Linked DNA regions of Rattus norvegicus. The protein of the gene in region 2 purifies or fractionates together with the protein of the main gene of each other region. This does not show direct contact. Links are inferred from orthologs where the notes say so. Each region holds a gene or a part of one and is shown on either strand. Other genes may lie near its edges.

Region 1 (3,518 bases), on a different chromosome or scaffold from region 2:
GTTGCAACTTGCCTGTTAGATTTGTCTCTTTGCACATAGACATGTAGAGGCCCAGGGGCCTGTTTCCTGTGTTTGCATGGCTCTGGTTCCGTCCTCACAGAGTCAGTGAGTTGTTGGACACGGAAAGGCATGCGTAAGCTTCTCAGAATTTTTTTTTTTTTTTTTTTTTTTTTTTTTTTTTGGTTCTTTTTTTCGGAGCTGGGGGCCGAACCCAGGGCCTTGCGCTTCCTAGGTAAGCGCTCTACCACTGAGCTAAATCCCCAGCCCCTTCTCAGAATTTCTTACTGTCAGGCTTAGGTGCTTTTCTTGGTCTTAGATCTAACGAGGTCCAATTTTGAAAACAATTACAGTTAATTTACACAGAAACATTTTAAAGCGTCATTTTGTCAAGAATTTAGTTTCTTTCATTGCATATGTTGCTTAATTAGATTTCTGTTTTGTTTTCTTAGATAATGCCTGCGTTCTTTTTGCCGTCTCTGTTCTTATGTTTATAATCAGTTCAATGCTGGTTTATGGAGCCATTTCTGTAAGTCTGCCATGTTTTCCTCTCTCCATTTGACCTGTAGCAAGTAGTGATTTTGTACATATACTGATGTTACTCTCCTTCTACAGTATCAAGTGGGCTGGCTGATTCCTTTCTTCTGCTACCGACTTTTTGACTTCGTTCTCAGTTGTCTGGTAGCCATCAGTTCTCTCACTTACTTGCCAAGAATCAAAGAATATCTGGATCAGTTGGTAAGAGTGTTTGCTATTTAACATTTCCACTTAAGTAAAACATTTTAATTGAAATCTAAAGGTAGCCTTGGTACTATTTTTAACTCTTTGCTTTGTACAGTATCTTAAAATCACACCTATGTTAAGACCTGTAAGATAGAAATAAATGATTGTTGTACCATACCATTTGGACAGCAGAGTACTAAGTCCGTAAAGATAGTGTAGAAGAGATAGTTGAGTTAATTGTGTTTTAATAAAATATTCGACTGTATTTGAGATTCCTAAGGGATTGGTGTTTGATCTTTAACAGAATGCTAGCCTGTATCTGTATACCTGCTGTATACAGGTATAGGCTAGTCCTGTGTCTGTGCCCACTGTACCCTAGCCCTATGTCTGTGCCCACTCTGTTCTAGTCCTACCATGTTGTTGGGGTGCCTACTGTATTCTAGCCCTGTGTAGGAAATGTTAGCTGTTTAGGAAAACTTGCTCTCTTACAGACTCTGGTGGTTTTTTCCCCTCTGTTTGATTGGTGTTCTTTCCATTAGAAGGTATTTCTTCTGCTGGCCAGTTTTAAACACTCCCTTCCCTTCTAATGCCTTTCTCCTGACTTGTCCAGAGTCAGATGAGTGCAGCCGATCTTTTCCAGCACAGTGAGTCTGTGAGCAGTAAATTATGTCCTTCTACCTGGCTTGTAGACAGTGGCATGTGTTCTTTTTAACTATCATCTAATGAAGAGTTGAGATCAACATTTGACTCCTAGAAAAGTTACTTTTCTTTGTGGAAGACTGTGCTCCTAGAGACTTGAGCAATCTCAATTCCTCCTGACTTTCTGAACCAGGACAGGGTTGGGGTGCTGTACAAGTGGTTATATTTTGTCAAAAGCACAAAGATGAAAAATACTAGCCAGCAAAATGAATATTAGCTCTATTCAGACCTTCTAGTTATCTCAGCTATTAAACAAGCAGACGGGAGTGATTAGTCTGTTGATGATAAGGGTCTTGGATGTGCTGCATTCTTTGTGTGAATTTGCAGTAGCCTTTCACTCTTGACTGTTGCCCTTTGTTGTGTTCTTAAAATGCTCCCTAGATTTTCAGAAGCAGAAGGCTGTGGTGTAATTGTCAGTGCTTTTGTGTTTTAACAGCCTGATTTCCCCTACAAAGATGACCTCCTGGCATTGGACTCCAGCTGCCTTCTGTTCATTGTACTTGTGTTCTTTGTGGTATTCATCATTTTTAAGGTAAGGAGTTTCCAATTCACTCTTGGGGCCTGGTGAAACTGCTCAGTCAACCTTTTTCCAGTCTTGTGTCTGTATCCATACACATACACATAGTTGATGGAGGATTTGTAGTGTCGGTGTCACTGCATTTAAGGGGTGGGTCCCCTTTGTGTTTTCAAAAGTGGCTCATGGTTTATAGGGAAATCCATTAAAATTCCTAACATTTGAGCGCAGGATTTCCTCACAGCCTGTTGATTAGCAGACCTGAATCTCCAGCTAGAGTCTCTGTGAGAAACTTGTGATGTTTAAATGAGAGCCAGTCAGGAGTGAGCCTGGCTTGACTAGGTTCCTTTTGTACAGACAGTGCAGAAGAGATGATGGTCCTCTGTTCCCAGAGCAACCTGCTGAACTGTTTCTCCTTTCAGGCTTACCTAATCAATTGTGTTTGGAACTGCTACAAATACATCAACAATAGAAATGTGCCAGAGATTGCCGTGTATCCTGCCTTTGAAGCACCTCCACAGGTTAGCTGCTGTTCACTCACCAAACTGTCACTCCTACTGCTGCCTCCAGAAGTGAATGTGGGGCTTGACTTTCCAGTCGTTGCTATAACTGTGGTTTGGAATTTGAATAGCTTGAACCCACAAATGTATAAGATTTAGCATTTTCCAGGAATCTTGTGCACACAGGTCTAGAGCTCTCTGCACTGTTTGCCCAGATTGACTGTGGTCCCCACAAGTGTTTCTGGACAGATACAAGCTAGGAATATCAATAATTGGCTTGTGAGAATTCTAAGGGATGAGGGCTAATGGGTGTGTGTGTGTGTGCGCGCGTGCCCACTTGTAAGATCCAAAGCCTGGGCCTTGGGGAGATGATTGTGATGGCATCTGAGTGCCGAGCCCTTCTCTTAGAACCCTGTTTGCTGCTTTGCTATCTTCGCAGATTTTCAGCATATAGAGTAAACATGGCCCATGAGCCAGCCTGTCACTTGGAGGATAGGACCTTAGGCTAGAGTGAGCTTTAAAAAGGCTTTCTATTATCCCAAAGAGCAGGATAGGAGGTCATTGTCCTTTCAGTACAAATTATTATGAAACTACAGACACTGGCAGCTTTCTCTAGAGCAGTTAGTGGGGCCTTTCCCCCTAGATCCTCAGTTCTTGAAATATTAGCACTGGAACTTTATTGATTGACTGTCAAGAGAGAAACCCTTTATATTTTTTAAATATATGTGGGTTAGTGTGTTAGTTTATCTTCCAGGTTAGTTCAGAGGAAGAATTCTAATTGTCTTCTATCCATCACACTCATCTATTCATCCATTCCCATCTGTCTACCCATTCCCATCCATCCGTCCATCCATCCATCCGTCCGTCCGTCCATCCGTCCGTCTGTCTGTCCGTCCATCTGTCTATCTGTCCCATCCATCCATCCATCTGTCTGTCCGTCCATCTGTCTGTCCGTCCATCTGTCTATCTGTCCCATCCGTCCGTCCGTCCGTCCGTCCGTCCTCCCACCCACCTAGCCATACAGTTGTGGCGATCTTGATCTTGAGTTAGGGTGTCACTGAGTTGAAGCTGCTCAGTTGTCTGTT
Region 2 (3,518 bases):
GGCGTAACTTTCTATATTTTGTCCTCTATGATCAGATCCCACTATAACTTTTAGTCCTGGGGCTGGAGAGAGCTCAGCTGCTAGGAGCCCACACTGTGTGGCTCACAACCTCCCATAACTGTAGCACTGGGGGATCTGACATCCTCTTCTAGCCTCCGTTGGCAAGCACATGGTACAAAGACATAAATGTAGGGAAAACACGATTACATATAAACTAAAATGAAAAATAAAAGGAAAGGAGAGTGGGAGCTATGTGTGATCTTATCTGGGATCCCCCCATCTTCCACAAGAATGAAGCTTTACCCACACCTCACACCAAATCACAAAAGGACTCTCTGCTCAAGAAAGCTTGGGAAAACTTACTCTTAATTTAACTTTATTTTTTTAACAAGTTCCTAAGAAATCGTTGAGTTCTTCCTAATCTGTGTTTGCTGGAGGTGTGCATATATGCACACCTCACATCAGGCGTGTGACTACGCTCTCTGCTCTTTATTGAAATGCCCTTTAGGATTTGTGGACTGAATGTCTGTGGTAGCTGAAGCAGCAGGAAGAGAGTCCTTGGGTAAGAGGGAATTAGACTTTCTTTAGTGTAGTCTATGTATCCTCCAAGGCTACTATGGCATAGATGTCAGCTAACGCTGTTTCACTGCTGTCTCCACCCAGTATGCTAGAGCAGTGGTTCTCAACCTGTGGGTTGCAACGACCCCATTATAGGGGTCACCTAAGACCTCTGGAAAACAAAGGTTTATATTATGATGCATAATAGTAGCAAGATTACAGTTATAAAGTAGCAACGAAAGTCAGCATGACACATGGAACTGCATTAAAGGGTTGTAGCGTTAGGAAGCTTGGGAAGGAAGGAACTGGGCTAGAGGTGCTGCTGTTTCTGGGACTACAGAACGCAGCTCAATGCTCAACGGCGAAAAGTAACTCAGCCACATGCCAGGTTCTTGGTCACTATCCAAGATAGTAGTAGTGACAGAAGGTAGTGACATCATCCACTTCTTTTTAGGGCAGGGTCTCTTACCTACCTGCAGCTTGCCAATTGGTCTAGGCTGGCACTCTACCAATCAAGTTGTCTCCCAAGCCTTCAACTAAATTTTTAAAAGTTAAACTAGACTTGAAATGGTAGAAACTTAAAGACTCTTCAGCTATGAAAATAACAGTCAGCTTCTGTGCACTTCTGAGAATCTACACAGGACTCTTACCATAGAGTTCAGCAAATCCATTCATAGGCACACGGGATGTGCCAGTAACAAACTGAAGTAAGCGTATTCTTTTTTCTGAATCCATCATCAAAACAGCCTGAAAAACAGAAAGACTTCTGCTAGAGAAGAGTACTGAAAATAACAGAGAAACTGTCTTGGAAAAACCATTTGACACCCCAAGCCCCACCCCGCAGTGGTGGTGGCAGGTGGATCGCTGAGTTCAGAGCCAGCCTGATCTACAAAATGAGTTCTAGTATGATAGCCAGGGCTACACAGAGAACCCTTATCTCGAAAAACAAAAGTCATTAGAGTTTAGAGAATAATCACTAAGGTTTTGTTCTTATTCTCAAAAAACTTATTTCTAAGGCTTTTCCCTCAGAAATGGAGAGGGCCTCAGCAGTGAAGAATGCTCACGGCTCCTGCAGATGGCCTGGGTTTAGTTCCCAGCATGCACATGTTGGTTCACAATTGTCTGTACGTCCAGGGGATCTTACACCTTTTGGCTTCTACTAGTATTGTACACATGTGACATAAACTCATGTAACCACGTATACACACACACTTAAAAAAAAAACCTTTACAATAATTACATATTACTAAAAGTCACATATCTAAGAATTTAGAAGAGCCATGTTACAAGTTCTTCGAGACAGTCCTCACACTGGTGAAAACTGATGTGCTTATTTCAGCTCATTTCCTACGATTCTGAATGCCTTCCGTACTTACCTCTGGATATCAAGAAGGGTAGACTCACATTCAAAGGCATTTATGCAAAATTAGAGGCCTGTCTGCTTTGCTGGTGCACTTTTCAGAGTGCGACACACTCTGAGAGTCACTCTACAGGTGGCGTAGTATGACTGAACCTCAGATTACCTTCCAGAACCAGTGGATGACCTGGTGGTTTAAGCTGTATCCATTTTTGTATTTTGTATGTTCCCTCCAGTCGTTCACGTCCACATCTCCCAGACCACACATGAGAAGCTGCAGACAGACAGACACGCAGTCAGAACTGTGAGCAGGGAAAACCGGTGCAAAGCTCTGGGTTTTTTCCTCTCCTGAGTCAGGGTCTTACTACATAACTCTGGATGTTCTATAATTCATTGTATAGACCTGGCTGGCTTCATATTCAGAGGGTCACCTGCCTCTGTCCCTCAGTGCTGGGAATGGAAGAATGCATCGCTACATCCAGCCAAAGCTGTTTTAACACAGAACATTTTCTTTGCTGCCCTGTTCTATTGCATGTTTATATGTATTGCAGCATGTCTATGTCATGTTGTGAGTGAGGAAGTTAGCGATAGCTTGTGGGAGTCCATCTCCACTCTAGGTGTCAAACTCGGGCTGTCAGGCTTGGTGGAGGGTGCTTTTCCCATCTTGTGGGCCCTCCAGTTCTCTTTTTAAAGACAGGGTCCCTGTAGCCCAGGTTAGTTTCAAACAATGTAGCTGTGGATGACATGAACTACTGGTCTTGCTCCCACCCCTCGAGTGCTGGCTAATGGGTATGTACCACCACACCCTTCTACACCGTGCTGCGGATGGCGCCCACGGCTTCACACCCTCCCTCCTCCTCCCCACTTTCTCTCCACAAACTGCCATACTCTCCCTTCCTCCCCACTCCTCCATGCCCTCGCCTCCACACCAGTGGCACTGAGGACTGAACTCAGGGCCTGCATGACTGCTCAACACTGAACTACATTCCCAAGCACAGCACAAACAGTTGTTACCTCTAGTTCATTTTCATCGAATATCTTGATCAGATCCTGTGGTATCAGTTCAAAAAATCCCTAGAAGGAAAGGAATGTGCCCAAAGCTGGTTAGCAGGCTTGGCACGCTCAAGCATCTTGTGGATGGAACACTCACTCCTACACAGATCTTGCCAGCATACTTTCATGAACAACCCTTCACTGTGATCTTAATGTGGCCGTCCTGTCTTTATTTCTCAAAGTGGCTATGTTAAATCCTCCCTCCTCCCTCTTCATTCCTTCTACACGTACTGAGGAGACTGAGGCAGACAGAAGCCCATCCCCCATCCTGGCCAGGCCCACTGCAGGAGGTGAGCCCCCTCAGCGGGCCTCACCCCTTCTGTTGCTCCCTCCTCCTCCTCTCCTTCACCTACTGAATCCTGTCCTGGCCTGGGACCTGCAGTAATCCTGCCTAAGTCCCCAATCGTGAGTCAACTGCACCTTTGTTAATTTCCTGCGTTTTCCTCGTCAGCCCCACTCAGGACTGAAGACACTCATTCTCACCACAGGCACAGCTACTTGCTCATAGCTCTTTTCTGCTCCTCTAGTCCCCAGCTTAGTCTCACTGTGC
Region 3 (3,518 bases), on a different chromosome or scaffold from region 2:
ATGAACACATATGCATACATACTCGTGCACACTCACACGCATGAACACACACACACACACACACACACACACACACATACATATACTCCACCTTGGCAACTCCCAACTCAGGAGCCTCAGGGGAAGAAGTATATAGCTGGTGCCTCCCAGTCTGAGAAGGCTTTGGTTGCTAGGAGCCACCTAGTCCTCTAACTCCTGGCAGGTTACACCCACCGCCACCAGGGTAGCTCCAGCCAAGACTAACTTTTGGGGTACCAGGTGTGAGATGCATCACCTCTGGGCAAGGAGCAGATACATCCACACATGCTATCTGCCTGTCTGTTTTTCAAAACAGTCTTGCTACCCAAGACTGGTCCCAGATTCACAGCAATCCTCTTGCCTCAGCCTCGCAGGTGTTGGGGTTACAGGCAAGCAGCACCAAGCCTAGCTCCCCTTCTTCTGAAATAAATAGCACTGGCCTCTTCCCTGGAGGTTGGGCCAGAATCATTCAGGGACTGATGTGAGCTTTCAGGAGCAGCCAACCAGAGGCCAAAATGAAGATTTCATTCTTGGTGCCTCCTTTTCTCCTTCCCAATCCCTCCGCTGGGGAAAGCCAGCAGCCATGCCCTGAGGACACTCTGCCCTACCTAAAGTCCTCACCATGAGGAGCTGGGTAAAGAAGGTACAAACACTGTACACACAAGTACCCCTGGGGGAGCAGGTCACCCATCCCCTTCCTAGCTGCTATGCTGAACCAGCAACTGAACCACCTAGCAAGCCACCCAATGCTGCTGTCCCTCAAGCTGCGAGAGGACCTGGTCATTTTAAGCCACCATGCGTGGCCATAGTGGGTTAGACAGGAGCAGACACGGGATGCCATTCCTATAATGTAGTTCCCAGGGCAGGATGCTGTGAAGCTCAACATGGCCAGACCGCCTTTGACCCTAGAAGCTTCTCTCTGACAGTTACTCCCCGAATCCATCACACACAATATTAGAGGCTGAGGCCTTGTTAGAGTCTTCCGGGTCTTCCTCCCCAGAAACCCAACCTCCATCCATGACCTGCCCAGCCTGGGGGATGCCTCGCCCCAGGCCACACAGCCAAGGTGTGACCTGGTCCTCCTCCCTAGACTCACCATGTGGTTCATGGACTTGAAGTTAAGGTAGGTGGGCACTTCCATATAGGAGCTGCACAGGGTCAGGATGCTCAAACAGAAGTCCAGCAGCTGCAGTGTCATCAAGGGTACCTTAGAAGGACCCTAAGGTGGACCAAGAGGAAGCATGAAGACCCACAAGCAGGTTCCGAGTGGCCCTTCCTTGGAAGGGTCTCCACCCAAGCCCCCAGCCATTCCCCCATTGACTATGCTCAGTGAAAGGAACACGGGATGTTCATGTCTGCAGAGCTGGGACCACAACACGGGTCTTCTAACTCCCCAGTATCCCCACCTTCCAGCAGTCCCATCCTTCAAGGACCAGAGTCGGGACTATGAAAGGCAACCATGGTAGAGCTGTGTGTATTGTAACCAGCTAAGGCCACCACACTTTTCCTCAGTGGATGGTCTTCGTTTCTTGGTCTTGACTATCCATTCATCTTGCTCGATTCCAAAGAAGGAATCAAGTTAAGGATGAGGCCTGAGAAGGCACCCGGCCCTTCTCCCTGAGTAACCCACTCACGCCCAGTGTAAATAGACATCTTACCATGCCACTTTCACAGAGTCCTAAGGCTTACCCATGAGGTACACTGACAGGCACACCATGCAGAGGAGAGAGCCTGAGGGCATTTGGCAGGGATTAGGGGACCCCGCTGAAGGATATCAAGGACCCAGGTCAAGCCATGCACATGAGTACTCACGGGCCGGGGCCGGGCAAACTTCAGGTATGCTGGTAATTCGATGTAGGAGCCCAACAGTGTGAGCAGGCACAGCAGGAAGTCCATGATTTGAAGGGACAGGAAGGGTATCAGGTACTTCTCCCGGTTCTAGAAGGCAAGTCCACCCTGTCAGGGTGCCCCTGACTGCCAGCACTCCACAGTGCTATCCCTGTCCCCATGCATCCTGTTCCCACCCTGGCTGTTAATGATGCTACCAGATCAGTGACTAGGGCCTGCCCAGATCCATGCACCTTCCCATGAAGGGCACCCTGGGGAGAGGGGCATCCAGGTGTCTCAGGAGACACCAGAAAACAGGCTTCCAATACAGGGATTCTGTTTCTGTCTGTCTGACCTTATGTCTTTTGACTTTTTTCAAGACAGGATCCCATGTATTCCAGGTTGGCCTCAAATTACCTGTGTAGCCAGGTATGACCTTGAACTGTAAAGTCCCCTGCCTCTACCTGTAGAGTGCCTAGGTTGCCGGTGTGCACCGCCCTGCCTTATCTGTGCAGTTCTGAGGACTGAACCTTGTGCGAGCTGGGCAAGCACTCGCTAATCGAGCTCAGCAAGAGGGAAAGGATGTGAACTAGGGGGCATGGTTATAGGTAACTCGGGGTGTCCTCAGCACTTATCCACCACCCCCTTTTCTCCTCTCCTTCCTGGCTACCATGAACTGAGCAGCTTTGCCAAACACACGCCACTTTCTCCCCACTGTGGTGTCCCGCCTCATCTCACAGCCAAGGAAAGCCAGCAAGCAGCACACCGTGGGCTAGAAACAAGAGCCAAAGCGAATCCTCCTAGATGATTCTCTTGAGTATTGTCATCCCAGCAGTGGAAGCTGAACGACAGACTCTGAGGGCGGAACCCACAAGGTAGAGTATGATGTCCACTCTACAGAGAAGGGGACCAGAGAGGACATCCTGGAAGGGACACCCAGCTAGATCCAGAATTTGACAGGTAAGGGGACTGGCCCGGAGAAGGAGGCACCAGCAAGTAAAGGCCCAGGGACAAGAGCCTGTCCTTCCTCCAGGTGGTCAAAGCCAGATGTGACAGGACATGGAAAGAGGACTCAGGAAGTCAGTCAGTGTCTCTCTCCCTGGTAGGAACCCCGCATCCATCCACATAAGCCCCTACTGAGGCAAAGTCACAGAAAAGGTGGTATCCTGGAGGGGGGTGTCTCATGGTTATCTAAGCCATTCAGAGGTGACCAAGACACGCTGTCTGGGGCTCCCTGCTCTGCCTTTTTAGCTGGACACTGAATTTCTGCAGCAGCCCCACAGCCACACCACTGTGAGGACACACTCCAGGTGGTGAAGCTCCCAGATACAACAAGGGTGGCCAGGGAGTGAGACACTCCGGGCCAGCATTCAGCCTCCACCTCTCAACGCAACCAGCACTCCACCATCTGCAGGGCCGGGGTCTCTCCACATGGTCAAGGGGCAAGGTCAACTTCCTATCTCCTTGGGGACCATGGAGCAAATGGCTCCTCTTTTGTAGGAAGTAGAGCCACAGGGTGACTCAATCCCCACATCCCCCCAAGTCACCCCAACTCTATCTGGGTCCGTCTGCCTTTCTTAGTACAGTCTCACATTCCCAGGGTTTCATGAGTGAATGTCGCACTGCAGTGGGTGCAGGGCAAGGGGAGGCCTTTGTCCCTGAGGACAAGCCCA

Evidence for each region.
Region 1: the proteins of Nedd4 (region 2) and Laptm4a purify together in Homo sapiens (affinity purification with western blotting; 3 studies listed by BioGRID). This does not show direct contact. The link is inferred for Rattus norvegicus from reciprocal best matches to the Homo sapiens genes NEDD4 and LAPTM4A.
Region 3: the proteins of Nedd4 (region 2) and Laptm5 purify together in Homo sapiens (affinity purification with western blotting; 3 studies listed by BioGRID and IntAct, with this or other methods). This does not show direct contact. The link is inferred for Rattus norvegicus from reciprocal best matches to the Homo sapiens genes NEDD4 and LAPTM5.

What each region holds. Positions count from the first base shown.
Region 1 is NC_086024.1:37,451,993-37,455,510, forward strand, and holds part of Laptm4a (lysosomal-associated transmembrane protein 4A), read left to right. Parts: intron 1-449; coding exon 450-526; intron 527-612; coding exon 613-735; intron 736-1,855; coding exon 1,856-1,951; intron 1,952-2,355; coding exon 2,356-2,454; intron 2,455-3,518. UniProt on the Homo sapiens protein: May function in the transport of nucleosides and/or nucleoside derivatives between the cytosol and the lumen of an intracellular membrane-bound compartment.
Region 2 is NC_086026.1:82,341,287-82,344,804, reverse strand, and holds part of Nedd4 (E3 ubiquitin-protein ligase NEDD4), read right to left. Parts: intron 2,990-3,518; coding exon 2,930-2,989; intron 2,190-2,929; coding exon 2,082-2,189; intron 1,306-2,081; coding exon 1,209-1,305; intron 1-1,208. UniProt on the Homo sapiens protein: E3 ubiquitin-protein ligase which accepts ubiquitin from an E2 ubiquitin-conjugating enzyme in the form of a thioester and then directly transfers the ubiquitin to targeted substrates. Specifically ubiquitinates 'Lys-63' in target proteins.
Region 3 is NC_086023.1:148,385,370-148,388,887, reverse strand, and holds part of Laptm5 (lysosomal-associated transmembrane protein 5), read right to left. Parts: intron 1,957-3,518; coding exon 1,831-1,956; intron 1,238-1,830; coding exon 1,115-1,237; intron 1-1,114. UniProt on the Homo sapiens protein: May have a special functional role during embryogenesis and in adult hematopoietic cells.